Linked DNA regions of Rhinolophus ferrumequinum. The protein of the gene in region 1 purifies or fractionates together with the protein of each later gene. This does not show direct contact. Links are inferred from orthologs where the notes say so. Each region holds a gene or a part of one and is shown in the gene's direction. Other genes may lie near its edges.

Evidence for each region.
Region 2: the proteins of CTTNBP2NL (region 1) and STK24 purify together in Homo sapiens (affinity purification with mass spectrometry; 3 studies listed by BioGRID and IntAct, with this or other methods). This does not show direct contact. The link is inferred for Rhinolophus ferrumequinum from reciprocal best matches to the Homo sapiens genes CTTNBP2NL and STK24.

What each region holds. Positions count from the first base shown.
Region 1 is NC_046305.1:43,724,123-43,739,365, forward strand, and holds the start of CTTNBP2NL (CTTNBP2 N-terminal-like protein), read left to right. Parts: upstream 1-8,768; 5' UTR 8,769-8,881; intron 8,882-14,874; exon of another isoform or gene 14,875-15,202; intron 15,203-15,243. UniProt on the Homo sapiens protein: Regulates lamellipodial actin dynamics in a CTTN-dependent manner. Associates with core striatin-interacting phosphatase and kinase (STRIPAK) complex to form CTTNBP2NL-STRIPAK complexes.
Region 2 is NC_046287.1:44,274,137-44,289,226, reverse strand, and holds the start of STK24 (serine/threonine-protein kinase 24), read left to right. Parts: upstream 1-9,452; 5' UTR 9,453-9,768; coding exon 9,769-9,810; intron 9,811-15,090. UniProt on the Homo sapiens protein: Serine/threonine-protein kinase that acts on both serine and threonine residues and promotes apoptosis in response to stress stimuli and caspase activation.

The sequences.
Region 1 (15,243 bases):
TAGATTGTGTTTTCTTAAAATCTACTCTGCTTGCTATGTGGAGAATGAACTGGAAGGGGCTAGAATGAATGCTAGGAGACCACTTAGAAAGCTACTGCTATTGTCCTGGAAAGAAACAAGATAATGGACAAATCAAGATGGTGGTGACGGTAGAAACAGAAGTAAAAAGATTTGAGATATTCGGGAGGTAGAACTGACAGGACTCAGTGATAGATTGGTGGTAGAGAGAAAAAGGTATCAGTAAGTTTCCTGGTGTCTCATTTCATCTTTACTACAACCCTGTGAATCACATTAGCATTTTCTCAATTTTATGGATAAGGGGTTTGAAACTCAAAGTAGCTAAGTGATATGTCAAAGTCATGCAGCTAGTAGGTCTGGCTCTAAAGTGACCACGACGCTACACAAGAGTCAAGCAGCTCTTCCTCGAAGAAGATGCCACTCCCTCTTTTGTGCCTCGGAAAGCTACGCCTACCATTACGGCTAGCATTGTACATCACCCACAACCTTCCGTTTGCCTGTGCAGCAGGAAAACAAATTAAAATAGTATCACAGAAGCTGGGTGCAGTTTGAGTCAGTTGACCTCCAGGGATAGTACATATTGATTCCTTTGTCGAAGAAAGTGACTTCATGGGCTTAGCTAGCTCTGAAAAGTAAAGTGAGTCCCTTGGGTAGAACTGAGAGAACGGTTGAGCAATAAGGAATTAAATCACTCTGCATGACAAAGTTCGAGCAGGAACCAAGGTCATTGTGTCTGGCACACCGGAACTCGATATATTTTTGCTGAAACTCTGGAGATGGGACCCAGCAACCTGTGATTTAACAAGACCTTCAGGCAATTCCAATACACCCTCAAATCCAAGAACCTCTAATCTTTAAATAACTTTTTAATACTGCACGGACCATCCCTAGTCCCCCAAATCCTCAGTGAAAAGTTGCTATACACAACAGTCTTTTGTTAGTAGTGCTTTGGGTAACAGGACAAAGCCCCTCCATCCAAGAGTTCCTGACAACGACCAACAGCTAGGAAAGTCCAGGCCAAGGCAGAGCTGGGGCAGGGTGAGAGACGCAGGCTGCAACTCAAGCTGACCTGAGAGCAAATGTGAGGTGGACGAACCCTCAAATGTGCAGTAAACATTCACCTTTTGCTTTGCAAACATCCATCCCCATTGGTGGGGGTGGGGAAATAAATGAATTTTCATTTAAGGTTATAGCTTTTCCCACACTTAATCTGTAGCTCTAGATAGAGCACATGACCTAAACCTAGTCAATCAAAGCAACACATTCCTCTGGCCACAGTGATTGGTTCAGGGGCGAACACATGGTCCAACCAGAGCCAAGAAGACAGACTGAGATTTTTCTCAGACTTCTGGGAAAGAGCGAGGTGCTCTTTCCTATTGAATGTGATGGGATCTGAAGCTAGAGCTACTGTGCTTATGGCCAACTAAAAAAGAAAGCATGTCTGTAAATAGAACTAACACAGAAGTAGAATTGAGAGATACACAGAGAGAAACCTGATCCTGGTTACATTTTTGAGAAGCCAGATCCAGCCTCTTCTGAAGTTAGCCTACTCATAGACCTTTTCGTGCCATGAACACAATAAAAACCCTTTTTGCTTTGCACAATGTGGGAGCAGTTTTCTGTCCCTTATATCTGGAGGCATCCCGACTATGACAGAAGACAGTGGGTTGAGTTATTTTCTTTGGAAAGTGTGGCTACAGAAAGCAGGAGAACTTGAGGTGTGAGTTACCTAAGTCTAACTCCCCTCCAGACTGTAAGCATCCTGAGGTTGGAGCTGTGTGTTATTTTTCGTGGTGATGATAGGAGACACTCAAGGATTATTTTAGGAACAAAAGGGGAAGAGGGAGGCAAGGCAGAGAGAAAAAAAGGGGGATGAGAAATAACTCATCTACAGACTCCTCCCAAGGAGGCAGGAAACCTGAGTCACCTGGTCACTTGGTTCTAGTCAGACCAGACCCTGCAGAGCCCAGCAGGAGCCACAAAGCAGGAAATGAGGGTATTGCAACTTCCTGCACCAGCCTACTCCAAAGGGCCACGTACCAGAAAATTGCCTAGAAATGACGGTGCAGCCATAACCAGGTCATTACTTTCCCTACAAATATTTCTCCCTTTTGTGAGCAACAAGGACCCATTCATCCAACTGTGTGGGGCCTCAGCTGAAATAACAGACCAGGGGAAATGTGTAATTGGCTTTCATCAAATTGAAGCCGTAGGGCAGCCCAGCTGAGCAGAAACTCTGTCTCTGGCCATAGCACAGAAATTATTTTCTGCTTAATGTCAGCCCACGTGTGGAGGAAAAGGGGGAACAGACGGGAAAGAGAAAGAGGACCAGCCTTCACGGTCAGCGTCAGCCCTTCTGGCAAAGCTACTCAGCCCAGAGCTTTGTCTGAATAGCCAGCCGGGGCAGAAAGGGGATCTGACTCCAGACTTTTGGGGGAGGAAGGCAGTGGAGCAGAGGAGAAACAGGAAGAGAGACAGAAAGGGGAAGGGTTGGAAGAGGGAGAAAGAGTTAACCTGTAATGAAATAAGTCCACTTACATATGACACATGGTACACGACTGATATCATTTCCCACGTGTCTGCCTATATGACACTTGGAAACAAAAAAACATAACATTAACCAGTTTATCAACTCATCATCTGGCATATGTTTTTCAATTATAATTTCAGAGATCAAAACCAAAAGGAAAACTTGAGACTCATCCAAGGGAACATAGAGCATTCTTCCAGGGACCTATGACTAATCTGTATTTTGGGGGTGAGGAGAGGAGTTCAAAACGACTCCCATTCTTGGGAACTTTGCTGGGTGATTTGGAAACTCCACAGTGTATCTCATCTACTTCTAGGAATTTTCCATCTGGGCTAAACTGCACACCATCTACCTTCCCTTTTTGCCCCTCTGTGAGCTTTGTGTCCCCCATCCCGGCCCCCCGACTTCAGGGGAGCATGTGAGTTCCACATAGGATGAGGGAGACGGGACCCTGGGTCCCGCGGGTGTTCTCCCGAAGGCCCCTAACAGCAATACTGCTGTGCAATTCCCAGCGTGCATTTCCCCAAGCAAATTGTCCCCAGGATCCTGTGAACTTCGGCCTTGGCTTTGTCATTGCGGTCCTAAGAAAAGATTCTATCTTTGGATCTGCAGATCCAAAAAACCACATGGCCCTAGTTTCCTGGTCGTCAGGAAGGGCCACCAGGCAGCCCCAGTAATGGAAAGATCAGTGAGTCACGCAGGTCTGGGCTCAGTCCCACCTCCACCACCCACCAGCTCCATGAGGCAATCCTGGAATGGAAACAGCACGGCTGGAGCCCCGAGGGCTGAGCTCTCTGACCTCAGTCAAGCTTCCCCATTATCCCTTTCTTAAACTACCTAAATCCCAGGGGCCTCGTCTGTAAAACGGAGATTGTAAGAACTAAAGGTTTGCTGTGAGGATTAAAAGAAATAACGTGCCTGGTGTGAAGCAGGTACTACATGATTGGTTGATGTTATCATCATTATTGTTATTATGTGGCCTTAGGCAAGACATTTAACCTCTCTGAACTTGCTTTCTTATCTGAAACACCGGAAGTAGGAAGTAAGAATAATGACCTCTTAGGATGGTCCCAAGGATTATATAAGGATTATATACGTAATGGTGACGAGGAGTATACAAGTAACATTGGCAAAGTGCCTGATACATAGTAGGCACTCAATGGTAGATTTCTTTCCCTTTCCTTCCCAGACCTCCTCCTCCACAATCCAGGGTAAGAATTTCCTGGATCCCTCATGGCCAAGCTGGCCCCAACATTTAGCTAAAAAAACAGAAGAATCTGTCCCTGAAAGTGGTTTTTCAAATTGCTGGCCCTTGGAGCCCCCCCACCTGTGGTGGTCTCAGCCCACACCCATACAAGGATAAACTGTCAGGTGGGAGTTTTTCCTGACTCTCAGGAAAAATGGTGAGGACCGCACTGAGATCGCCAGGAGGGAAGCTGACAGCTGCAGACCTCATCGCTCAGCACTAGGGGGAGCAGTAAGCTCGGGAACACAGTGAGGGCCACGCCCCGAAATCTCTCCATTCCGCGTGTCCCCAGTCGCTCAAATGGAGCAGATCTAGCAGAAGAGAACGCTTAAGGAATACGCAGAAAGGCCTTTGTGGAAACTAATGATGGGAGAAAATGCTGGGAGCCATGGAGAGCCCATCTTCCCTCCTGCTTCCGCCTGGTCCCTGCCTTAGAGAGCCCTCTCAGGCTTCTAGATTTCGACGGCCGGATCCCCTTCTGGAGGAGCTGAGCGGGAGGGTGAAGAAAGGAGGTAGGGAAGACAGGCTAGGTCACTTTTCCCAGTCACCCAACTTTTACATCAAGCTCACCCAGCATCTTAGTAAGTCCCAGCGAGTCACAGCTAGAAGGAGCCTTATAGAACCCCAGGTGTTCAACTCCCAGATGTTTAGCTGGAGGATTGGGACCCAAAGAGGAGTCTTTAAGCAAAGATCTCCCAGGTAGTTTATAATAACCCCTCAGAGTTAGCCAAATACTTTTATGTCCATCATCTCACTTGGGTATTCACAACCACCAGGTGCTGTAGGCTGAGACTATTACCTCATTTCACAAATGAGGAAACAGGTTCAGGTAAGTGGCCATAGTTCTCTTCCCTACTAAATTTTCATTGCCACCCACCATTCCCTCCTCTCTTGCTTACCCTTGCTTTAAAATTGGTCCAAACAACACACGTAACCCCAGGAAGATCGCTGCTCAGCTCCAAGTATTCCATAAATCAAATTTTATATTTGATTTATTTACAAATTTTTATATTTGTTGCAAGCCCCGTCTTCCTAACCCCCATCTAGCATGATGGAGGTAGTAATTGGAGTCAGATCCAAGTAAATATTTTATGTTTGTCACTTATGAATTCCATGACCATGGATGGATCTTTTTGTGCCTCAATTTCCTTATCAGTAAAATGAGGATATTTACTTATCAGTAAAATGAGATAGATTCTCCTGGGATTCTTTTAAAGGTTGAATCAGATGTACTGTAAAGCAATTTTATAGTGCCTGTGATATTGTAAAGGCTTGACAAATGGCTACTGGCATATATAATTATATCATCATGGAACTGAAATGATCTCTGGGAATTATTTTATTACTTTTATGCTGTTTTCCAATGAAGTCAGATGGAGGGAGTTAAGTGGGATGTTACTCTGAGAAGTACAGTTTACATACCGGTTTGACTGTTTCGCCTTCCCCAAATTCATGTCCACCTGGAACCTCAGAAGGTGAACTTGTTTGGAAATAGGGTCTTTGCAGATGTAATGAGTTAATAGGAGGTCGTATTAGATTCGTGTCAGCTCTAAATCCCATACGACTGTTGTCCTTATAAGCAGAGGAGACATATAGAGACATCGAGACAGAGGGAAGAAGGCCGTGTGAAGACAGAGACAGACTGAGGTGACGCAACTACAAGCCAAGGAACTTCAATCCCAGAACCAGGGATTGTCTGGGGGCCGTCAGAAGCCGGGAGCCCCCAGAAGGAACCAACATTGCCAACAACTTGATTTTAGACTTCTAGCCTCCAGACTAAGAGAGAATAAATTTCCGTTTTAAGCCACGCTGTTTGTGGTAATTTGTTATGGCAGCCCTAAGAAATTAAAAGTTTGTGACAGAGGGAGAACTCTGACAGAACTTCATGGTTTTTAAATTCCAGTCTAGCCCTCTTTACTCCATCATTGCCTCCCTAAGCCAGCAATAAACACTTATGGAACACCTAGCTAGGAAGTTTACCTGTTTGGAGAAAAGCTGACTCAATCTATATAATCGTTAGCATTTCCTACTAAGTTGTTGCCTGACACACAGTAGGCATTTAATAAATATTTACTGGCAAGTTGATAAAATAACAGATATAAAAATGCCATATTGTGATATACAAACTTAAGATAGCTTAAGAACCCACTTTCTACCTCTATGTACATCTTTGTACTCTATTTACACATTTTATATATTAAAGAATCTTAACACTCAGAACTCTCTCTCATGGCTGCAGCTACAGCCTGAAGGTCTCCTGAAGTTCATAACCCTGCTCATTAACTACCTGCAGGGGTGAATTAAAAGGAAAGTGTTTACCCCAGAAGGAATGTATCTGTCAAAAAGGACTCCTTGTGGTTAACTGGACCTAAGCAAGAGTCCAGCAGCCATTGTTTGCAGAGGCCTCTCACAGGTAGGGCCACAGACTGAGCTAGCTATCTATGCCTCCTGCACTGCATTCCTGCAGCCTGAGCAAAAACTTATAGATTCTGTCCAATCAGAACTGAGCAACTAGAGCCTCATTTGCATCTTTACCAACCAGCAAATAACAACTAATCAGAATGTGTGATTCTGACCAATCAGGACAGTGCTATTTGAACCAATCAAACAGGGAAAATTTTGATTCCTCATTTGCATAAAAAGACCAATCGGATCAGGACAGCACTTCATAAAAGGCAGCATCCCCTTTGTCGCAGGAAAGTGCATTTTCAGTTTCTCTCCCTCTTCTAGCCTGCATTTTCCCCAGTTTGCAAACTGTTTACCTGAATAAAGTCTTGCCTCCACCCCCGCCACACCCCAGACTGGGTACTCCTGTGGGTGGCAGAGATTCTATTGACAAAAGCAATCTGGATACCCTCAGGATTCTGAATCTTACAAGGCAAATATGGTCTAATTTTTGCTGGGTCCTCTCACACTCAGGAACGGACAGGACGGAGCTGTGGGAGCCAGGGGAGCTGCCCGTTGCCATAAAGGGAGTAGCATAGAGCACTACAGTGTGGGAGTAGAATGGGCACTGGTGGGTTAACAGCTAAAAGGGAGGGAGGGGAAGGAGGGAGGAGCTGATTCACTAGGACAACTCTTAGAGTGACTCAGAAGCCAGCAGAAAATAGCCTGTTCTCCCACATCTGCTTCATTGTCAGGCAATGAGGCACTTCCTCATTGCACACCCTTAGGCTGGGCAAAAGGGTGGAGGAGGAAATGGGATTTTTCAAATTCATGGGCCTATTCCAGCACCTGAATTGAGTGTTTGTAATCATCTCAGACATTTTGTTTCAAGTCAAGTCACTATTTATTGAGCACCTACTATGTGCCTGGCTTTTCATTTTGCCTTTCAGATCATCAGTCACCTGAACACAGGGAGTGCTGTGTTTCTGAAGTTCTGTATTTCCTACTTCATTACCTAAAAGGCACTTGGGCCGCTGTTGAGCACCTCAGTACAGTTTTGCTGTCCTTCATATATACAAATGACCCTCTCAAGCCTACAGCCAATCAGTACAGGGAGGCATGAAGCTTTTTTCTGGCTTTAATGGTGATTTTACAGTCATCTAGGTCCATTCTCTGGACCTGTCTTCCTTGTAAGAGCCAGAGTGAGATAAGCGACTATGCCACAGGTTTGGAATCACTCATTGTTGTTAAGTTTTTTTCTTTCCCATTTACTAGCTCTATGATGTTACTTAATTTCTCTGAATCTCTATCGTCTCGTGTGTAAAATGGGCACAATGTCTATCTTACAGGTCAGCAAAGATTTTCATAAAGTAGTGGAGATTAAATACCATATGAAAGTACCTGGCACAGTGATGCCACAAAAACTGGTTTACTTCCTTCCGATTTCCCTGTGATGGAACAGACTGACCACATCCCTCCACGAGACTGTAAATTGAATGAGGGCAGTGCTGTATCTGCCTCGAAGACTATGTCTGCCTAGGTGAGTATTAGGCCCCTGTTTTGCTTAATAATTGTTAAGAATAGTACATTATTAAAGTTAGTACATATTTATGCAATCGAATATAAATATTCGATTGTATTATAAGCATTTATTATGCTATATTTAAAATAATGTGGTTGTTAATCTTTTAACTGCTAGCTGAATCAATCTGTGAACTGGAAAAGGAATCCAGTTCCTCAGACAGGGATAAGGGGATGTATCCTCTCCCCTCTTTGGTCCTGGTAGGGCTTGCTGCCACCAGCAAGATGTGCATCCCCGGGTTCACAAGAAAGGACACACATCCCTTGCATCCTCTACACTGTCCTTTGTTCGAGCTCCACTTGCAAACGCCACTGCCCACAGTATAAGGGTGCGAAGGACACAAAAAAGTCCCCTTATTGGGCAGCATTGCGTGGAAAACCTTGACACACAAATTTGCAAATATTCATTCGACTTCCACCTGGAAGGCAAGTCGGACTGGATTTATGCTCTCCCTGGTGCTAGCCAGTGTCCCCACCCCAGGGGCTCCAGAGCTAGTATGCTCTTCTAAATGTAGCGTGAATAGAGAAGGGCGGTCTCCGGGTTTTTCATCTTTGCGCCCTTGCTTCTAGCACCACACCCACAAACTCATCCAAGGAAAAGAGACAGCAGGTAAGACACGTTACCAGGTTTTCAACAAATTCTAAAGCAGACACCAAAGCGCACTTCAAACGTTAATGTGGCCCAATCGATCAGGACACCCGCCATTCCTAAGCTTCCTAGACCAGGAGCGTTAAAGCACGAAGCACTCGCCCGGTCCTGCCCGGAAACCACACAGAGGATGGAAAGTTGCAGAAGCCGGGCCGGGAGGGGCCCGAGTCCAACGCCAAGCTCAGGCCGAAGGGGGATGCTTCCTCCCGGAAGTGACGCGAGCTCAATCCCAGCTTGGCTCTCCCCAAACAAAAGGGATCTCGGGGCCCCGGGAGGAGCCTCAATGACATTGGAGAAGCCCCGCCTCCAGCCGGCGCGAATTGGTGCCGGGGCTGGAGAGGCGAGATGGCGATTGGCGGCGGTGAATGCCAGTGCCCCCGCCTGGTGGTTGAGGGGCGGGGACTCGGGGAACTGTGGATGGGAGCGGGTTAGCGGAGGCGGCGAGGAGCGGAGCCCGGAGCGCCGGGATAAGGTAGGAGCCGCTAGGGCTGGGGCTTGGCGGTGGCTGGGAGGCCGCGTTCTCCAGAGAAAAGTAAGGGTAGGACCATCGATGTCCTCCCGCCACCGTCCCAACTGCCATTCGCGTCCATCCCCGAAGGGGGCGGGGCCCTCTCTTCCACCTCCCGGTATTCCCGGTGGAGGCGGCTCCTCATCCTTCGAGGGTCCTCGCAGCTACTTATTGTCCCCCATCAATCCCAGCTCCGTAGAAGGGGCTCCCCTCCTGACACCTCTCATTCAACCCCGCCCCCAGCGCCTCAACCTTGGGGGAGGGCGCACAGGTTCCCATTCTTTAGGCTGCCGCTCCCACCCCCATTTTGTCCCCCGGGGAGCCCAGACATCCCGCCCAACACCTGCCCCTGCTCGCTAAGGTGGCACCAGAGCTGGTTTCATCCATAAGATAAAATCAGTGTTTTCCCAAAAAAGAGGGATGGAGCGGAAGCAAAAATCAAAGACCCGATCTAGGCTGCCAGCTCCACAGACCAAGCGGCCTTCCCTCACTTCAGTTCTTCCCATCCCCCATGCTCTGGTCATCAGCCTTCCTCCCGAAGCCCCTCGGGTCCTCTGTTCTCCTGTAGGGGAGAGAGCCCACCTGCTGCGGGACTTTTTTTAGACTCTGGAGGAAGGAGAAATAGTAACTCCCCACCCCCACGGCCCCCTTTGTACGTTCCCTCTACCCTGTTCTTTCAGGGAGAACCCAACCTCTAAGGGTTTTTTTAGGTTTGAGTTGTGTTTCATTTTTGCTTTCCACCCTATTTCTTCCCTGAGAACTTGATGAAGAACCAAAAACCATCCTTTATGTTTCACAGTGAGGTGGGTGTGTTGGACATCTCCACATCTGGCCTTGTGTGGGGAGAGGTGCAGTATGTATTGTCATTGAATAAACAGCACACTTTAAAATCAAACAGTATTGATGAGTAAATAAAGAGCATTAGATTAGGAATGAGTCTAAGGTGGGCTGGTCAGTTGCTCAGGGAGACTGCCGTTAACCTTGAAGGTATATTTCTGTTGAAACAAAAGGCAGGAAGTGTTTGAAGAAAATTCAGGCTCAGTTGTCTAGGTTTATGATTAATCTGGTCCTGTGGCCTTTGGTTCCTCTCTAGCCCCCTTTTTTAATGGTGGGTTTTTCCCTCCAGGCGGAACTGATACATATATAATGTTATGGATTGGTTTTCCAAGAACAGTGTCAGCCACCAAAATTTAGGGGGTGAAAAGTAAGAGCACGTTTTAAATCTCAGAGAGAAGGATAAATAAAAACAAGGTTAACGCCAGCTATTCACACGCCTTGTAACTATCAGAAGTGTCTCTGTGGTGGTCTCATAAGGCTTTGTCAAGCTGGCCTTCATTTCAGCAGGTGCAAAATATTGATGATTTGGGCGGAATGTTAATGCCATTGAATCCTCGGTAATCATCCATTGCTAGCACTTGCATATATTAAAAATTGCCATATATTTTTAGCTCATTTCTTTTGCTTTTTATCTGTAGTCCATCTTACTACTGTTTCCTGTAGCTAGAGCTAATAGCAATGAGATGCAAGGAGTTGGACTCACAGAGGGTAGTCTTTCATAATGGCTGTCTTTCACCTTCCTGATGGAACTTTCTTGAAGGTAGACTTCCTGAAGATAATTATTTTTGAATATTTAGTCTCGAAGTTTTCAGGGCCACTCTCGGTGCTCCCAGATCTGTTCAGTGATTGTTTCCAGATCCTCAATAAAACAGCACAAAGAAGAAACTGTGCGGAGGGTGTCTCCAGCAAACAAAATGTACTGCAGTAGGAGGGTAAGACATGTTTCCCCCGCAATAGCAGTAGAAAAAACTAAGAGCAAAACAGGAAATCCTCAAAAGATATATCTTGTTACATGAGCAGAGAACAGAAAATAAACTAAGGTAGCAGACCAAGGAGACCAAAGTAGTGGACATTGCCAGGACCTTAATGAACAGATAGGAAAAACCAAATCACACTCTTTGATTATTTGGCACAATAAGGACCTGTTCGATACACGTTTGGGTTTTGGAAATCTTTCCTCTAACTTTTCAACACTTGTTTGGTCATATTAGATGAAGAAAAGCCTTTTGCATATAGAGGATTTTTATGTATATGTCTAATCTATCTCATTAAATTACAAATTCTTTGAGAGCAGCCAGTAGGTGGTTTTTTTTCATCTTTGTATCTTTCACAGTGCCTGGTATATATAGTTTGATTTAATGAGTGCTGAACTTAGTTTGAAGCTGTCACTTTAGAGTAGCCTAGAAAGATAATGTACTGATAAGATATGGCACATCTTGTTAGTATGAACAATCCACTTTTTGTCTTGATTTAATTTTTATTTTCCCTACCTGATGTCTCATAAAACCACAGTATCTTAAGTAACTCTAAAATATGGAATTTTCTATAAGAGAATGTCTGCTGGTTAGATATATAATTTTGCTGTAATGAAATCCGAACAGGTTTATTGATGTAATCAGTGCTAGTTATCTTAGGATTTCATTTTCCTAAGAATCTGACCAGAGAGGAATGAAGTTCATTTAGGAGCGCATACTAGGAACTGATTGCTGGGTTTTGTTTAAGAGTGTTTGGTTTTGACCAGTTACCGATCTGCTGTAGGATTTTGTTAATGGATTTTTAGTTGTTTTTGTGCTGTTCTGAACTAGGAATAAATGCACAAACCGGGGCACAAATAGGAGTGGGTCCCTGAATGGAGTCGTCGGTGTACGGTGGGTTCCTGTCTTGGCAGAACCTGGTTTGGAACTTGCAGAACTAGTCTGGAATTCTTGGTTTTTCTGAGTGGAGCAGAATGGTGTTTGTATAGGTTGCCATTGGAGTGGTGTTTGGTGGCTTGAGACGAGAAACAGATTTCTTTCTTTCTAGAGGAAATTTATCCAGTCTGTGGTGTTTGACCCCAAGAATGGCTTGTCGGCCTGTTTCTAAAGGCCATTTTTTCTCATATTTCCTGAATGTTTGCTAATAACTAAAAATCAAGTCTTCCAAGGTTCAGTTCAAAGTATTTCCGTGAGAAAATGACATATTTATTGTCAGGCTGTAGAGTGTGGTAACTTACAGCGCAGATTTCAAGGCAAATTTGGGTTCAAATCCCAACTCTACTACTCTCACTGCGAGTGAGGACGAAAGCAGAGTTTTCTGTCTTCACCATATCCCAGTTTCCTGTGCTGTGACATAGCAATAACTTCTAGAATTTTTTTTTAAGAATTACATTTAAATAAGGATTACAAAGCAAGGTTACCTACGTAGCATGTAGGAAGTGCTCAATAATTGGTAGGTATTATCGTTGTTATTCTACTTTGCATATGTGCTAAAGAATTTAACATTAAACATTTTTACTTCTTTAGCATTTTAGCAAAGGTGATGAATTAGTGTTAATTTTAGTTATTGGTTGGTTTTGTTTTAAATTTTTCAATATACAGCTAAGATTTCTAAGTAGAGGGACACAAAGCTTGTATATGTCATGACCTCAGACATCTGATCTGAGGATTGTTAGGAGAGTGTGTGTCTGTCTCATAGTGTGTGTTGCATAATTGTGTCATGGAAATTATCTCCCTTGAATTTTTTGGCCCGGGAATAAGAAAGGCAAGAGATTCGGCCATCTGATGTCTTCTCTCTGAATTGCCCATTGTTCCACTCCAGACTCTACTGTCTTAAGTACCTCTGTCCTGAGTGTCAAACTGTATAAATGGCTTGGTGGATACTGGGATACGGTACGTTCTGTGAGATTTATGGGCTATTCAGTGATAACTTTGATTAAAAGTGGTTTTTGCCTTTTGAAGACAACTCCTCCACTGCCCCCCAAAGTGAGGAGCAGTTATAGGAACAATGAAAACGGGTGAGAAGAAAGCACCTGTGGGGGAGTTAAGAGTGGAGGTAGGGGAGGAAAATAGGATTGTCTACAAGGAGGCGACGGTGTAAAGAATGCAGTAAGACCTTCCCCCCTGCCTTGTGTTTTCAGACTCTGTAGTTCAGGTTCAGAGCTTCCAATCTGTGTCCTTTGCTGCTAACAATCCTTTCTGACTTGTGGAGCCACAAAGACTGTAATCCTTAATTGTTACTGAGTCTGGTAGAAACCAGAAAGGACGAAGGGAGAGCGCAGGACGAGGGGGTTTCCAGACAAAAAGAGATTCCTGACCTTGAACCTTGGGAGGCTCTGCTTTGATCCTTTGTGCAAAAGCTGCTGGGGAAGGCTGGGCTGTGTGTGCTCCGGGTCTGCTCTCCTTAGAAAGGTGAGAAGCAGGGAGGGAGGAAAACAGGGGAGTAGAGCGGGGATGAATTGTTTTAACAAGAGATGAGAACTATACCTTATAAAGGAGAGAATAATGAGAATAGCTGACAGGTAAGTTGTAGGAAAAAGAGAAGCACTAACTCTTATTTTTGGTGGGAAGGGTGCCCTACTCAGTTTCTGCTAAGCAGTCCTTCTGTTGCAGCAGGTCTGAGAGGAGTGAGAACAGAACCAAGCTGGACGTTAACTGGTGTAATATGTGAGGGTACAAAACTTATCAGGTCTGCTTCTGCACTTCAGCTTCTTCCTGTTGCCTTTTGTTCTTAAATGAAAGGCACCGAGGGTTGCTGAAAAGGCTCTACCTCTGAAGACCGCTCCACTTGTAAATGTTTAGCGTTCGTGGCACTGGCTCTTACCACGTTCCTCTTGGGGTCTAATTACTTCTCGTTGAGCACATCACAGTCATCATTTCCCCCTAAAACCAGTTCCTTTTCTGACATCCCTGTTCCTGTTAATGGCATCATCATTTTAGTCACCCCGTCTGGAAAGCTCAGCTGATCTCGGATCATTTCCCCTCTTGCCTACTTAAATGGAACCAGTACCAAGTCACTGTAAATTCTCTATAAAGTCTCTCAAACATTTCTTTTGCTTTCTGACCGCCGCCGTCCTAGTTCACACCGTTTTGCCACATACATTTACTCTGACAGTTTTCTCCCAACTGCTCTTTCTGCTTCAGTCAAATCAACCGTGTGCCTCAAGCCTTAACCTTCCTGACACTGGGCTTTCGTTAGGACAGTCAACTGCTTAGGAATGTGTAGGGGCGTCTCATTTCCTAAAAGATCAAGTCCAGTTTCGTTGGCTGTAATTCAAGGTACTGTGCTGTACGTTTCTTTCCGACCGGCGTTTTTTGAGTACCCCTTTGAACCAGACTGCTAGGTGCTGAGTTTCATCAAGTTGAATAAGACAGTAGTTATTTGTCTAGAATAGCAGTCAGATGAGACAGAAGACAGATATGTAAACAGATGAATTGATGTAATAGGATGTGATAACTGCTCCTGGGTTATGAATATACAAGTAGATGTATACTTATTACATGTGTAACATAATGTAAAAACTAGCTGTGATATTTTTAGAAAACTCGTTTCTCAGTCATTGCCAGTTACAATTGTGACTTGATTAAAAGCTGTGAAAATTCAGTGGAAGCAAAGGCATGCGTTTCTCCTATATGCTAAAGGCACAAAAAGCTAGTCGAGGCAGAAGAAAGTTCTTTTCTTTTCCCAAGTAGTAGACAGATTCCGCTGGCCTGAAAAAGTGTTGTATGTGTCCCTAAGCCAACTCTCCTGGGAACTAGCCAGGCCATCTCCTCCTTGGAGGTGTCAGGTCAGAAGGAGTAAACTTGTTTTGATTTCTAAATTAGACACGTGAATGGTAGAAAATGAGGACTCAATGGAAAAAGGAAGACTTCATTATCTTTGCAGATGACACCAAATATATGCTATCCAGGGATGGGAAATGGGAGGACTGAGCAGTCACCAACTCATTTAAGCCATTCAGGATCCTGTTAGAATATGTAGTGTTATTATCCCGATTTTATAGATGAAGAACTTAAAAGATTAAGTGGATCAGGGAACCGTGAAGTGGCTGTGCCCGGTCTCTTGGCCTAGGGCACTTTCCACTACAAGGCACTGCCTCCCAGGAGAATTATTGTCCCCAAAGGACCTTGGAACAAAAACAATTGCTAGGTCTGTTGTTGGTCATTTCCAACTGATAACAAATTGTTAAACTTTTTTTTTAAATTGGTGACCTGGTTTAGAAGACAAAATTTAAAAGGCAAAACATCAGTTATCATATTTCTGTTAGAGTCTTTTGTGAAATTTTTTGCAGTTCAGGGAGAGTCAGGTTGTGGGCAGAGCTAAAACACAGATACCTGGACTGTTTCTTGGTTCATTCTCCGCACTGAACACTTGGTTTCTTCCCAGTTTGGAATCCTGGTGGAGTCAAAGGCTTCGTCTGTGAAGGGCTTTTATATTCCAGGCTGCCTCTACAATTGTGGCCCATGAACTTTACTGGAAATAAAATCAATCTACATGTTATTGTTCCCTTGTGG
Region 2 (15,090 bases), on another chromosome or scaffold:
GTCTGACATAAATAAGCAAGTATTTACTATGTGTTTCTTCTGTATCCTCATACCAGGAGCACTCTTGGGATCACAAGAAGAAACTAAACTTGAACCCTGACCTTAAGAAGCTAACGATTCTTCATAGATATTCGTCTAGGACTCCCTTCTCATTATGAAGGTCCACTGTTCATGTCCCGGAAGGCCTGAATCTTCAGGACGGAAACCTGCCTCCTCGTGTTCTCAGCAGTTATACATATTTTGGACTCGGCCTTTACCTCAAACTGTAATTCCGTGTTATGGGTTGGCTTACAGAGTAGTCCAGGATGGCTCCTTGGTCTCCTTCTGGCAACTCTCCACATCCATGTGGCTGAAGTCTCTTTTTCCTCCTTCCTGCGCTTCCCTAAACTTGTCCTGTTTGAATTCTACTCAATGGTCTGACCACTCACCCAGCTGACCACGGTCACTCTTCTAGAGCAAGGTTCCACAAACTACACCCGAGGTACAGATCGGGTCTGCCAACTGTGTTTTTAGACCAAATGTCCTTGGAAAGCCTCATGCTAAATTGAATGCATATAGTCTGTGGTTGTTTTGCTGACAGAACAGTGAAGATCATACAGTCCACAAAGCCTACAATATTGACTATTCGGCCCTTTACAGAAAAGTTTGCCAACCCCGATCCTTATAACTCCATGAGAAGGTCCTGAATTTAATATGAAAGATTTTCCCACTGCCAGATGAAGTAGCTACACAAAGCAAACCTACAACTCCCCCATTTCAGTAGGTATAGGGCTCTGGTCTGCTCAGTGTTGCTTTATGTAGGTTATCACACTCCCTTCCCTTCCGCCGATCTGTCCTCTGCCTCTGGTAATAATGGGATGATTCTCCCACACCCCACCCCACTCCACCCCCTGTGCCCCAGCCAATCACAATCCTCCCTACAACTTTACTAGAGCTATCAGGAAAGATGCTTCCTTTAAATCCAGGCTTGCAAGCTATGAGGGTGATGAGACCTAAGGCTGACATAACCATCCTTCTCTCCCATGGAAAGAGCCCACCTAACAGGTAACGTAAGCAGAGGCCAAGGAGACAAAACAACAGGACACATAGAGTCCGGATTACCATCTGAATCCCCAAATCGAGTTGTCAGAAGCTAGTTGCACCTCTTACAATTTTTCTTTTTGAACTTGATTGTGACTTAATTATAAATACTGAATTTCCCAGTTATACAAGATAATAAATTGCTATTTCTCTCTAAGTTAATTTTAATTGGGTTTCTGTCATGTGAAACCAAAAGCGTCCAGATGAGTAAAAAAACTGGAACCAGGAATCAAAGATACAAGAGAAAACTTGGGTAGTTGGCAGGTAGGACTGAATGGAAGACAGTAGGAGTCCCTGTAACTGGAGAGCTGGTGGTCCCTGACCTGAATGATCCTTGGTCTGAGCTGGCTGAACTATTACCAGTTGTGCTTCAGGACCTGGATCATTTGTAGACTTTGGACTCAATAGGTACAGACGATGAAAATTGACGACACCCACATCTAAATACAGAAGCATAGTATTTGTATGGCACACGGGTCTAAACAGAAGGGAACACTCTCCGCCATCGGCTCTGCCCATGATGTGGGTATACTGGTGTGCCACTGCCCAACACCTACAGGCTCTCCATAAGGGAAGGCCAGAAGGTGCAATGGAAAGGTGCACATTCAAGGACTCGGACTCCATAGGTTGATGACTTTGGTCTCCTACTCAGTTTTCAAGGGAATTATATCACCAGAGCAATTTAGTCACTATTTAATCTCTAAACCATGGTTCCCAAACCATGGCCCCAACACACCCTGAGTACTGTAGAGAATTCACAGTGGAACCATGGGATATTTAAAATTTTTCAGGAAATAGCGGTACTAAACATCTGTCAGACACCACACTGACAGGTAGTCCACAGTTTTAACATGCGATTATGCTACATTCTTTTCAATGATGTCATATGTCTGCAAAGCAGGTGCTTATATTTTTGGGAGGTGCTGTGACAAAAAGCACAAATATCAATATGTAACAAGAACTGAAGGTGATGGTGTCCAGTGTGATTCTAAGGTCTGGAACGGTGTGCAGTTTCCAACAGAAACACATGTCCCCTTAGCAAGTAATTGTGATTACTTACAAATGAAATTAAAATATTTTTTTAAATTGCAGGATTATTTCTTCAGATTGCTACTAAGTTATTAAGACAGAAATTCTCAAGCTGTTTTTACCTAGCTTTTTAGTTAATTGGACTGTTAGGTATTTCTTTTGGCTCAGAGATGCTATGAATAAATTACTAAGATGCTAAGGGTGCTGTTAAGGAGCAAGTTTGGGACCTCTGCACTAAGGCAATCCCCAGGACCCCAAACCTTCACCAATAGGAGCAGGGCTGGTCAAGTCGTGCAGCCTCCAGAAGGAGCAGCCTGCCCCACGTTCCACTCCTGTGTAGCCATGGAGGACCACAGAGAAGGTAGAACCTTTCAAAGGGCAGAGCCAAGGGCAGCTCCAGTGGCTGGCTCACGCACCCGCCCCCCCCCCACACCCAACAGCCTCACTTTCCAGGAAGGTACCATGTACAGCTGACTTGTGAACAACATGGGTGTGAACTGCACTGGTCCACTTCCATGCAGACTGTTTTCAATAAATACTGTAGAATGTATTTTCTCTCATCATTTTCTTTTCTTCAGCTTACTTTATTATGTGAATACAGTATATAATGTATATAACATACAAAACACATGTTAATCCACTGTTTGTTATTGGCAAAGCTTCCTGTCAATAGCAGGCTATTAGTAGCTCACTTTGTGGGGAGACAAAAGCTACGTGTGGATTTCCGACTGTGCGTGGGCCTGCGCCCCTAACCAGTGTTGTTCACGGGTCAACTGCATGTGATGGACTCATGGTGATGCCTGCTCACTTCCCTTTCTCCCCCTTTTCAAGTGAGAGTTTTTAAAGTGGTTAATCAAAAATATTCTTTTCCATAATATATTAAGCACATTAGGAAGATAACACTTACCATTTAGATACAGACTGCTGACCTGTGGTAAGCCACATCCAGACTTGACAAAGAAGAATGCATACTATCCAGAGCCCCTGGACGAGAAAACGGATGACCTAACTAGAAGGCACTTGAGCTTGACTTGCTTTGCATACACATGGATTGGCTGTACTATGTTGGCGGAGGAGGATTACGGAAGAAATTCTACCTACGGAAAAAGAGACCGTGTAAGTGCACAAGTGTGTGCATGTGCTGGGCCTTCAAGGGGTGGAGTGTTCCAGGACCAGGCTTTTCTCCATTGGGAAACTGCCTCTTCCACACTGCATGCTATTGGGATGGGGCTTCCTGTGTCTTCTTGCTCTCTGGTCACAAGAATGCACACACACACATTTGAGTTCCTCCACCAGATGTGGCACACGGACACTGGGGAAGAGAAAGTCGCTCTCTTCTCTCTACGATTACAAGGACCATATTAGAAGGACTCTTGACACCACACTGAGAGAATCTACATGGGGATGAAGCTATGCAGAGGCTGGCAGAGGAGAGACATAAAGACAGAATTCTGATATTATCATTGAACCCACCCTCCTGGATTTAGCCAAGCTTGGATTTCTATCACTGAGCTAAAACTTCCCTTTTGTGCTTACAGAAGTTTGAGCTAGGTTTCTGTCACTTGTTATTCAAAGAGTTCTAACTAATAGAATCATCACTAATACATCTTCTTGGGAAAACAAATAAAACTGGGCTGGAATATCAAGGTAGAGAAAATCAAGGGACTACAAGCTTAGCTTTTCTGCAGGCGAAGGAAAGGGTAGTGTTTAGGTCAGTATTTTCACGAGGGTTCCAAGCATACTTGGTTATGTGCATTCAGGAACCAGTGCCTGTAACTCATAGGTACATTTTACCTCTGTGTGGCTATACAATCCTCCTTAAGCACGTAATTCCCTAGATCTTCTTGAAGAGAAAATTAAAACCATTTCCCACCATTTGTCTTCCTGGTCAGAAAGCAAGGCCAAGGGTTTTTAAGAACTGGTGTTAACAGTTCTGTGACTGGAGTACGGATGAAATCACCCTTCAGGGGATGATTTCATTTATGTCCTTTCTGGGTACATCTGAAAGCAAACCCAGCCTCCAGAGGGAGGGAAATCCACACACACACAGAGATTGATGAGTCTTTGTTTACTGAAGCCTTTATAAGCTGATTGGCAGGGTCAAGTGGCCACTGTTTAGAGGGTGACAAGCTCTGTTAATTGGCTCTTTACCAGGCAAAATGGCACATGAGAGTTTTTCTAGTGAGCCTGTTCCGGTCTGCCCTTCTTACCAGCCTAAACTTCTCTAGTGTGAGTCCCTAGAACTGCCACGCTGGGAATGTGCAACTAAAAGCCCCCCGGCCCTTTGGGGACTCAGCCTCCAATCCTGGTAAATCTCCAAGTGCAATGTTACTCAGGGATGACAGAGGCACTAAAGACAGACCTTATTACAGCATAACCTTTTGGCTGAAACGAGTATTCATCACTTTTGATGTACCCCCTACAAAATACTCTAAACTCTTTTCTGGCAGGTTTTGCCATGTATTCCAGATGATTTCAAATATATATATATATATATATATATATATATATAATTTTTTTTCGTTCTTCTGCCTCCCCCCAACCCCCAACTCCAGTTCAAGCCGTTGTCTCTGAGTCTAGTTGTGTAGGACACAGCTCCCTGGCCCATGCTGGTATCATGAGCCTTGCGCTCCCCCCAGCTCAGGCAGTCAGTAGTTGGTCGTCTGCCAGCTGCTCATGCTGGCCACCAGCCGCTCCTGGTAGCACAGCAGCCCCCAGCGTCCCACGGCAGCTCACACCGACCTCTGGCTGCTCAAAGCAGCCCAGCTCCAGGGAGAACCATTGTTCACAACCCTAACTGTAGAGGGCGCAGCTCACTGGCTCATGTGGGAATCGAACCTGTGACCTCAGCATTAGGAAAACGGCGCTCCACCACCTGAGCCACCCAGCCGGCCCTAGAAATATTTTTACAAAGCAAACACCTGCTTCTATTCCCTGCTTCTGCTCTCAGTTGTCCAGTGATTGGAGATTAGTGCTCTGGTTTCCATGTGAGATAAAGATTAGAGACTACACCCAAGGAAATATGAAACAATGTCTATTAGCAGAAATGTGAAGTGTGTAACAAGGTCCACAGGCCTTTGGAGAGGGAAAAGCAAGCTCTTGCTCATGGACCTGAGCCTGGAGGAACAGGGCGCTGACCAGAAATGCATACATAGTGAAAGGGGTGTGTTACGGGCTGAATCGTGTGTCTCCCCAACCCCACCCCAATTCATATGTTGAAGTCTTAACCCCCAGTATCTGAGAATGTGACTGTATTTGGAGATAGGGTCTTTAAAGAGGTCATTAAGTTAAAATGAAGTCACTTGGGTGTACCCTAGCCAAATGCGATGAGTGTCCTTATAAGACAAGATCAGGATACACACACACAGGGAAGATTGTGGGAGGACACAGGAAGAAAATGGTCACCTCCAAGCCAAGGAAAGAGGCTTCAGAAGAAACTTACTCTACTGCCACCTTGATCTTGGACTTCTAGCCTCCGGAACTATGAGGAAATACATTTCTGTTATTTAGGCCACCCCACCCATGGTACTTTGTAATGGCAGCCTGAGCAAACAAATGTAGGGTGCAACCAAAAACTGACTTAGAATGATGGTGCTGTGAGCTTGCCCTCTGAGCCTCAGTCACAGAATGCAACTACCTTTCACTGTTCCCCAATGTAGCTGGATCTTTTCCTAGGGCTTTAGCATACATTTTCTTGATATCATGTCATCCAACTATGTCTAGTCATGCTGCTTTATACGGATCTTAATAAATCTGTCTTCCTCTTTTGTGTCTTCACCTGCTAAACATGTGTAGAAATTTGTCAAGCCTTCTGTTAGTTACTTATCCAAGCTACTCATATTTCTCTCTTTAAAGTTCACCATGTAAGTCCCTTTCTTTAATCTGTAAATTTAAATTGCTAATGTGCTACTTGTCTAGCTGTTCTTTATAAAGTGGCATTTGGGGGTGTTTATCTTTTCAACTCAGAAGAAGTGAAGGGACTGATTGTTGAATTCTTGTTTCTGGCTGCATTCTGAGCTCTGCTGAGGCTATGAGCTGGCTTAGGGGAAGTCAATACACAAGGGTTCTATATTTGGAGGGGCTTTATATAGGGGAATGGAAATGTCCTTTGTGGTCCCGAATATGTGTCAGAGCACAATTCACGCTCAATTCATGTCCTTAGGTCAACACAAAAGACAGAGAGGGCCAAGGGATGAAAATAATTCCTTGGGTTAGTAAGTATCTCCATGGAGACCAGAAAATGCATGATCTTTATAGAGACCCTCAAAATCTCTCCTGAAATTACAGTAGTATATGATCTGTTGGAATTATAAATTGAGGATGGAGGGAAGTGACAAAAGGGAGAGGATGAAAGGATAATCCTCTTCTTTCCTTAGTGGAACTATACACATTGTGACTCTAAATTTAATCAATTGTGGTACTGTAAAATTCTGAAGTTAAGATTCTGGGAGACCACGTCCCGAGGATAGGATGAGAGGCATCTGAGAACCTAGTATTTATACGCCCAGCACTGAACCAGATGCTGACATGTGTTTGGCATTCAAAAAATGTGCTAATGTATGAATGGATTCAATGAGCAATTGGGCAGGATCGCATCATGGGCTCAGGCCCTGTCCATCATCTGTGTTCTGTTAAAACAAAGGGAGAAGGCCACTGTCTGCGGAATACTGGGAAATATCTGCCTATGACTGTGCGGAACAGTAACTCCTATTTTGCTTCTCTTTCAAGGACAATGATGCTCAATTGTATAAATATGGTCAAAGGAGGAAATGAAGTTCACTTGTGGTGAGGAGATAAGCCGGGTACAGGGAAATAGACCAGTTAAAGAATGCAAGTAATTGTGTCCAGATGAATTATGTATCCTACTGTAACATACCTGTTCTTAGCCTTACTAGTCTCTGGAGGTGAAAAAGGATTTGGAATACTTTTGATACGCAGGGTATTGTGGTCCAATGCCCCACTATGGCTTATTTGTTGCAAACTGGCCCACTACAAAACAGGCCCCTGTGTTTTTTGTGTTTCCTACGGTAATGCCTCAGCTTAGTGCCCAAACATTTCTGTCCACTCGTCCTATTTCTTCCTTCTTATCTTGCTATCACGTTATTGCTCTGATTGCTGATCCTAAGGAGAGACCTCTTAGCATGATGGTCTCTAATGGTTGACCACTGACTGAAACAATCATCTTTAATTCCAGAAAAAGCTACTGCTAAATCTTGGTGTATATACTTTCAGGTTTTTCTGTTTACAAATATATACATAAAATTATACATACATGTAAATGATATATATGTTAAATATAACTTCATATACATGAAGTAGCTTGAGATCAGACTATAATAGTTTTGTACTCTGCATTTTGTTTCTAACAATACAAAATGAAAATATTTTCCATTTTACTAAATGTTGAAATACATCATTTTTTACTGACTACGTGGTACTCACTGTATGAATATACTATCATTTACTTAATATCTATTAGACTTTTAATGTGTTCCCAGTTTTCCCATGATTATAAATATCACTGAACTGCATCTTTTTATATCCATTCTTATGCATGTCTTGGTTGTTTCTAAATATTAATAGAATTCCTGGGTTGAAGATTATGAACATTTTTAAGATTTATGCTCTTGCTTGTTTTACTGTTCATCTCTTTATGTACCCATTTTTTTTAGGTACACAAAATTTACAAAAGATGGTGAATCCTAGGTATCAGGATTCATGCTTTTCCTTTTTTTTTTTTTAAGGAGGGCACAGCTCACAGTGGCCCATGTGGGGATAGAACTGGCAACCTTGGTGTTATTAGCACCAACCTCTAACCAACTGAGCTAACCGGCCACCCCCATGCTTTTTTTTCACTTTGCATTTGCCACCTTCTCTTCCCAATACTTGGGGGCGGTAGGGCTTTACAACTCAGTGCAGTTAGTGTACCAGTGACAACGGTAAAGCTATCTGAAGGTATCCTGGAGAATCCCAAGGAAAAACACGTGTATCGTGTATTCCCAAAGGGAAAGCAGGGAGTACATTTTAGCACCCCCCTCCTTGTCTAATCCAGAGCACAGAGAGAACTGAAAGTCTCTCAATACAATGACACCTCAGAGAATAAACACTCCTTACCTCGGTGGAGAACTTTTAGAATTTCCTCCAGTAGTGTGTGAACTCTTGGGGGCTCATTTTTGTATGTCCAACCTCACACAGTGATGGTGCAACATGGCTTTCATTCAGGGGCATGAATGAGGTGCCAGGATCCCAACAACCTGAGGTACAGCAGATCACTTCAGTGGCTACCACTGTCATTGTAAATAAAATACTTTCTGGAGGCAGCAGACTCGTTCCTTCTTTCTTTCCTCTGTAGTTGGAGACTAAAAGGTGGAGACAGAAGTGGTGCCCAGAGCGGACCTGGGGCTTTTGGAGGCAGCAGAGAGGGAGAGGGCTGGGGTAAGTCTAGACACGGTTTCCTTCTATTGTCTTCCCTTCCTCCTTGCCCCTCCCTCCCTCCCCTGCATTTCCCTTCTCATGGTGGACGCTGCAGCCTGGAACCTGAGCCCGGAGATGGTGGGATTGAGCCCCCTCGCTTCTTAGCTAAGTTTACAGCGCCTAGTATTGCAAGCGGGGCTGTTTTCAAGCAGCAAAAGCACTCAGAATGAACAGCTCTCGGCCTCTCCCCTCGGTTTCCTCCTCGGGTTGGCTGGAAACTTCACGGAGACACCGAAGAAACTCCGCCCTGGTAGTTCTGAGCTGACCACCGGCTGAGGCCCCGCTGGGCATTCTCCCTCCCGAAGTCTCCCAGCCCCAGACTATGCCCTCGGGGAGGTAGCCTGGAGCCCGTTTCCTGGGGGCAGAAGGAAAAGGGTGGGCTCGCTTGGAGGGCAGGAGGAAGATGGTAGAGTCAGAGCTGGTGCTCACCGCTCCCTCGCCGTCCAGACCCCCTTAGGACTCCCACCAGGCCCAGGCGTGGGGGTGGGGGTGGGCACACAGCCAATTCCTGGGTCCCACCCGGTTCCCTCTTTCCCACGCCGGGAGGCCGCTCAGGCTGAGGCCCCCTCCCCGCTCATAGCCGCCAACTGGGGGCAAAGGGCAGCGCGCAACAACACTCGGATCCCCGCCCGCCCCGGCAGGCGGCGGCTGCGGCCTAGGGCAGCTGGCGACCGCGAGCCTCCTCCCCCTCCCGGAAGCGCGGGGCGGGGTCCCCGGCCGGGCCGCGGGGGCGGGCGCGGGGGCCGGGCCGGGGCGGGGCGCGCTCGGCGCTCGCGGGCTGGGCTGGCTGTGCGCGCCCACTCCGACTCCAGGCCTCCGGCTCTAGCCTAGCGGCGGCGACGGCGGCGGCGGCATCGGCATCGGCAGCCTCAGCCTCAGCCTCAGCCTCAGCCTCAGCAGCAGCAGCAGCAGCAGCAGCAGCAGCAGCAGCAGCTATTCGCGGCGAGGCCCTGCGCCCCTCGCAGCCCCTTCCCGGCGCTGTGCATGGAGACGCCGCCCGCCGCCGGCTGCTGAGCCACCATCCGGCCCGGGACCTGCGGGGGCTGGGGTGGCCTCGGGCTCCGACTCGGGCTTGGCCGGCCGCCCTCGTCGCCCGAGGGCTGCGCTTGGCCCGCGGGCCTCGTCGCCCGCGCGAATCGCCGCGGCCCGGCCGTCCCGTCCCAGGAATTAGCCGTCCTGACCGCCATGGCTCACTCCCCGGTGCAGTCGGGCCTGCCCGGCATGCAGGTAAGCAGCAGCCGGGCCGCCGAGGGGCGGGAGGGATGCGCGGGCCGGGGCGGAAGCAGAGAACTTGGCGGTGTAAACATGGCCCCCCCCACGCTGCCCCTTCCGGGGTCGCGCCGGCCTCCCGCGTCCGGCTCTCAGTGCCCGGGGCGCCCCTGCCCGGCTCGGCGGTCAGCGTTTCGGGGACGGGGGGCGGCGCGGGGACCTGGGGGCCGCGGCCTGGAGGCGGCCCTCTCCGTCTGGGAGTCGCGGTGGTCAGGGAGGGATGTGGGGGTGCCGGCCGTCTTCTTCCCCGCTCCCCTGTCTCCCCAGCGCCTCCGGAGCTGCAGGCCCAGCGCCGGCCCCAGCCCCGGGGGAGAAGTGATGTGGGGAAATGCCCTTGGAGGCCCCGGCGCGGTCTCTGGGCCCTGCCTGCGCGCGGCGGGTGCTGGAGGCCCCTGTCCCCTCCCTGCGAGCGGGCGGTAAAGTTGAGAGGCGGGAGGGGAGCCCCGGGCGCGTCAGGACTAGTCCTGGGCCCTGCCCGGGTGGAGGAGCCGGGATAGGGTGGAGGGAGGTGCAATTGCCAGCTCCACTTCCAGCGCGCGTTTCCTTCTGGTGCAGACACAGGGGAAAGTGCGAGCCTGTAAACCGTGCAGAAGGACTCCCTGGGACAGCGTGCACTCGAGTGTCCCGAGCCGAGGCTGACCCGCCCGGTCCTGGGACACTAGGCTTTTACTTTGAGAATTGATTGAATCCAGATGAGTTCTTCCCAGTAAACCTTTCCGTTGATACTTTGTGGCATGTTGGCCTACCATTGACTTTTTTGGGGTGGGGAGAAGTTGAATTTCAAATTACATGAAGGCGTTCAAGTTTTTCTGTATCGGGCACCGTTTTTAGCCCTTTGAAAAATAAAACCACCCTGCTTGGCTAATTTGTAATGCGTGTAAGCGCATAAGAGGTGTCAAAATCATTAGGATTAAAAACCTCACGATGCAGTTAGGGTATGTCATTAACGTTCTGCTCTCCCAACTTAGCTAAACGAGTGATCATGAAAACACAACCCCAGTATCTAAGTGGATTAGTTATCCTACAGACAGCCACGGGCTTGTTTTCTCTTCTTGCCTCGCTCTTGAGGGCTGAGAGGAACGGGGCTGGAGGACCTGGCCTTTTAGAAGCCGGGAATCTGTTCCTCTCTTTCGACGCACATCGTTTTCTCTCATTAAAACCATAAAAAGAAAACGATTTCATTGTTTAGGTTTGCAGTACTGAAATATAGGAACATAAAGTTACCAGAATTCTAGCCTCAGTTTTTTTTTTTTTTAAGGAGTAGCAGTTAAAGTTAATACCGAGAGAGCTTGAAGAAAACTGTCCTTGAATCTCATCCAAAGAGTTTTTAAACTCAACGTGCATTTAAAAGCTAAGCTTTTGCTGACCACTAGGTAAAAATCAGATGTGGTTTCTTGGTATTTCCTAAAGTTCCTGCTTTGGTTTGGTTTGAACTGAGATGCAGGAAGGCAGGGTGAACTGGCTGAAAAATGATTTCTGACCAGTAGAGCAAGAAGGCCTTCTTGTAGTGACCAAAAAAATAAAAAAAAATAAAAAAAAAATACGTCTGCTCAATCTTTCCTTTAGACGGACTTTTATGCTGTTTTAATCAGGTTGCAGTCTAGCACAAATGCCTCCCTGAGAGTTTACCACGGAGGTATTCCGCCTTTGTGGAGAGAGCATCAGTTTAAAAAGGTACTTAAAAGCCTCACTAGCTGGTGCCCTGAAGTCAGTATCAGATGGTTACCAGGTACCTTTTTTTGTCCTCACTTTTTTCTTTCTTCAAGAGTGTGGGCCAAAATTCTTAAATCTTGGGAAAAGAAGGTGAATTTCATTTAATAACTTTGCCGCCCAAATACAGTGCATTTACTAGGTAGTGTTACAAAGGAACTGTTTTTATTTTGCTTTCTCAGTATGAAAGCTGATAAATTTTTATTTAGTTGAAAAAACCAAATTTTCATCTTGTTAGAGTTGTAGAGGAGTTGAAGGTGGCTTTTGACAGTCATCCCTATATTTAAGTACATGTATAAACTGTATGATAATTGTTTTTAGTTTGCTATTTGGGAATGAACACCCCCCCCCCCCCCCCCGCACCCCCCAAGAAAAACAACAAGCACGTTTATTTCCTACTTTGAATTAGCAGCTGCTACTGCCCAGGGAGGCTTTTCCTCAGTGTTGTTGGGGATTAAATTAAAGGCACACCCGCCTTGGCCTGTTCTCTAGGATAAAACAGGAGAACTACTAACCCTTCTGTGCTCTGTCCTGATACATCTCACATCCCTCTCTTTTTTCTCTCTTATCTCCTGACCAGGGCTTATAAGGAGCTGGGTTAAAAGTTTTAGGAAGACAGTACAGTGAATTCAGGCAGCCTAGGCAAAGATGCCTACAAAATAAGCCTGAATGAGAGAACATTTTAGTGTAAACATAAGTTTTCAGTGTCTTGCAAATCATTTCTATGCCTCTTGTTTCTTACTTGTTACCATTTGAGGCATAGTTATTATATGCGATTTTCTAGATTTGGGAATCAACTAAAGACTAATTGAACTGACCAAGGTGAGATGGGGCAAATTTGTGACTTGAAACCAGGTCTTTCTTGCCTTCAAGACCATACTCACCATGCTGTATTACTACTTTTACAAAAATTAATATTCATTTCATTCCAACTTGGGTGTGGTGAAGAAACGAGAAATACGAGATTGGTATTTTATTCAGTCAGCAGTCATTGACCACTTCATGTGGCAGGTCCTGGCTGAGGGGTTGATGACTAAATCTGTTTTTAATGTTTAATGAAGGGTGCCAGGGTGCCTTTCTTTTTTACTTCCCACACCCCAGCTTCATATTAGCATAGGGGGAAAAAATAGAAATCGTGAACTGAATGTAGTAACTACGAATAGACATAAAGAAATTAGGTTGTTGTGTAGATTTAACCACTCCCTGTCCTTCATTGGATATTTGGTGTTTCACTCAATTCAGATTAAAAGAAAATAAAGCTTCAGTTGGAGGCAAGAGCACTGATCACGGCATAGTTTTTACAAGTTGAAATTTGAGAAGAATTATATTTTGGTTTATACATTTCTCACAGAATTTTGTCGGTCACTTTTGAACTTTTCTGGACTATGACCCATGTAAGAGATACATTTTACATCAAGACCGGAAACAGAAATTTTGGAAGATAGTCCTGATCCTTAATACTTGTGAAGTACTGTTATGTGATATATTTTAAGAAAAAGGAGCGGGTTGCAACACTAAATTGATTTCACAGCTGAGTGATTTGACCCAAGTTTGAAAAGTACTGATTAGCTGTGTCACATGTGTAGTGAAACCTGAGTTAAGTTAGCATGTTTTGAGAATGTCATAAATTTAAGATATTCTCATATTTGAAAGTACAGACAATTTATAGGAACAGCGAGAGAACTTAAAATTTCTACTGGTTAGCATTATCCTTCCTTTGCGCTAGCTGCTTGGAGAAACCCTTGCCTGAGAAGTCCCCTGTGTGGGGATACAGTGCAAGACGGTAATGGCCAGTTGGGATGCTTTGGGAGCTTTTCTCAAGTGCTCTTGCTTACCCTGCTGCAGCCTGTGTGCTCTGCAAAATCTGGGAAATGAAGGCAACAGACAGTTGCATTTAATTGTGGCTTAAGTGCTCTTGTCCCTTTTTTTCCTCTTTAGTGTCACATTTCCATAGTTTTTTTCCTGTTTCCATGGAAGAGACCTTCCCATGTTCAGTCTGTTACCATTTGCACCCAGGGCAAAGGTGGGTGTATCACAATTGTGGACCTTTCGAGTATTTGTGAGAATTAGATTGTGAAAGCACCTTGAGGGAAATGCTGAGCTGTAGGACGTGGCCTGGTGTCTCAGCACATTGAACTAGATGAGGAGCCTGCATTCAGGCAGCATATTCGTCTGCAGAGTGTGGTGCCAGCAGCCATGGGAGACGGAGGTGAGAACCTCCTGCGGGCCTGTCCCCAGGAAGGCCCAGCCTCGTGAGGGCCAATCCACATGAAGGACAGTGGGGCGCAGACAGCAGAGGTGTTGTATGGTGTTGAGAGCCGGGGGTGAGGGAACTGCATGGACCCAGGGAAAGGGGGCCTGGTTCCTGGCTGCAGTAGGGCAGGGTTGAGTGTTCTGTACTCAGGAACCCTGCTTTCTCAGTTGTGGGTGGTAGGTAGGAGAAGGTAGAGGGAGCTGGGTTCTGGGGAGTGCTGGGTGCTGGCTTGAAAGGCAGTGGCATGACGGGGGTGAGGTGAGGTTAACCTCAGGCAGTGAGAGCTCAGCAGAGAAGCCTGAGTGGTTGGAGCTGCTGGTGTCAGCAGGGTGGCCAGGGTGGACTTTTTCACAAGGTGGATTTAAACCTTGGTCATTTGAACTGTCAGTGAACATTTTACTCTTTTATTTACTCTGTCCCACCCCCCCTCTTATTTTGACCCTTTCTGCTGTTTTATGCTGAAGAATAAGTAAAGGCACATTTTTCTGTTAGTTTCTTAAAAAAGATACCTATTTCAATAATACTTCATATTCCCTCTTTTCCTGTGTTACCAAAACTTAACAGGGTTAAGAACATATTTGCTTAAAAGTGTATATTTTGGGGGGAGGGTCGTCGGAAGATTTTAAAAAATTAAAATGAAAAAATATAACGTAGAGGTGTCCAGGATGTTTTGTTTCTGAACGTTCCTGATAGTATTTCACATAGAACCAAGTGAGCGTCAAGTAGCAATTGGTCAGATTCGATTTTTCTAGGCAGCTAATGTAGCAACAGTCTTCCAGCAGAGAGTAGTTAGGGGTAAGTGGCAGTCATCACCACTGCTTTCTTGTTCGTTTTTGTAATTTTTGTTCTCATCTTTGAGGTACGGCTCTGATGCGTGTAGCTGAGCTGGCTCCTTTGATGCAGGTGGACACTGCTCTTCAGTTGAAGACTATTTTTCTAGGACCTTAGTTCAATATGCAGTGAGTAGTTACTGAAGAAATGAGCCCCTTGGTAGTTGTTGCTTCTCCCTAGTGCGTTTTTACAGTCATGCTAAAGCCAGAGTCCAGGAGTCTGGTGATCTCTTGAGAAACATGCTACTTTACTCTCTATTTGGGTGATTTCTCCCAGTGATTCAGAGTTGCCTGCTTGGAAACTTGGTACCTGCAGGAAATGGACCGCACCCAGCCAACCCTCTTGTGGCTTTTTTTCTGCTTTAGCTGAGCATGGTTATCATTAATGGAATCTTGTGGCAGGAAGGAGTTTGTGCAGGAAATAGAAGTTGCACTGTTATCCCT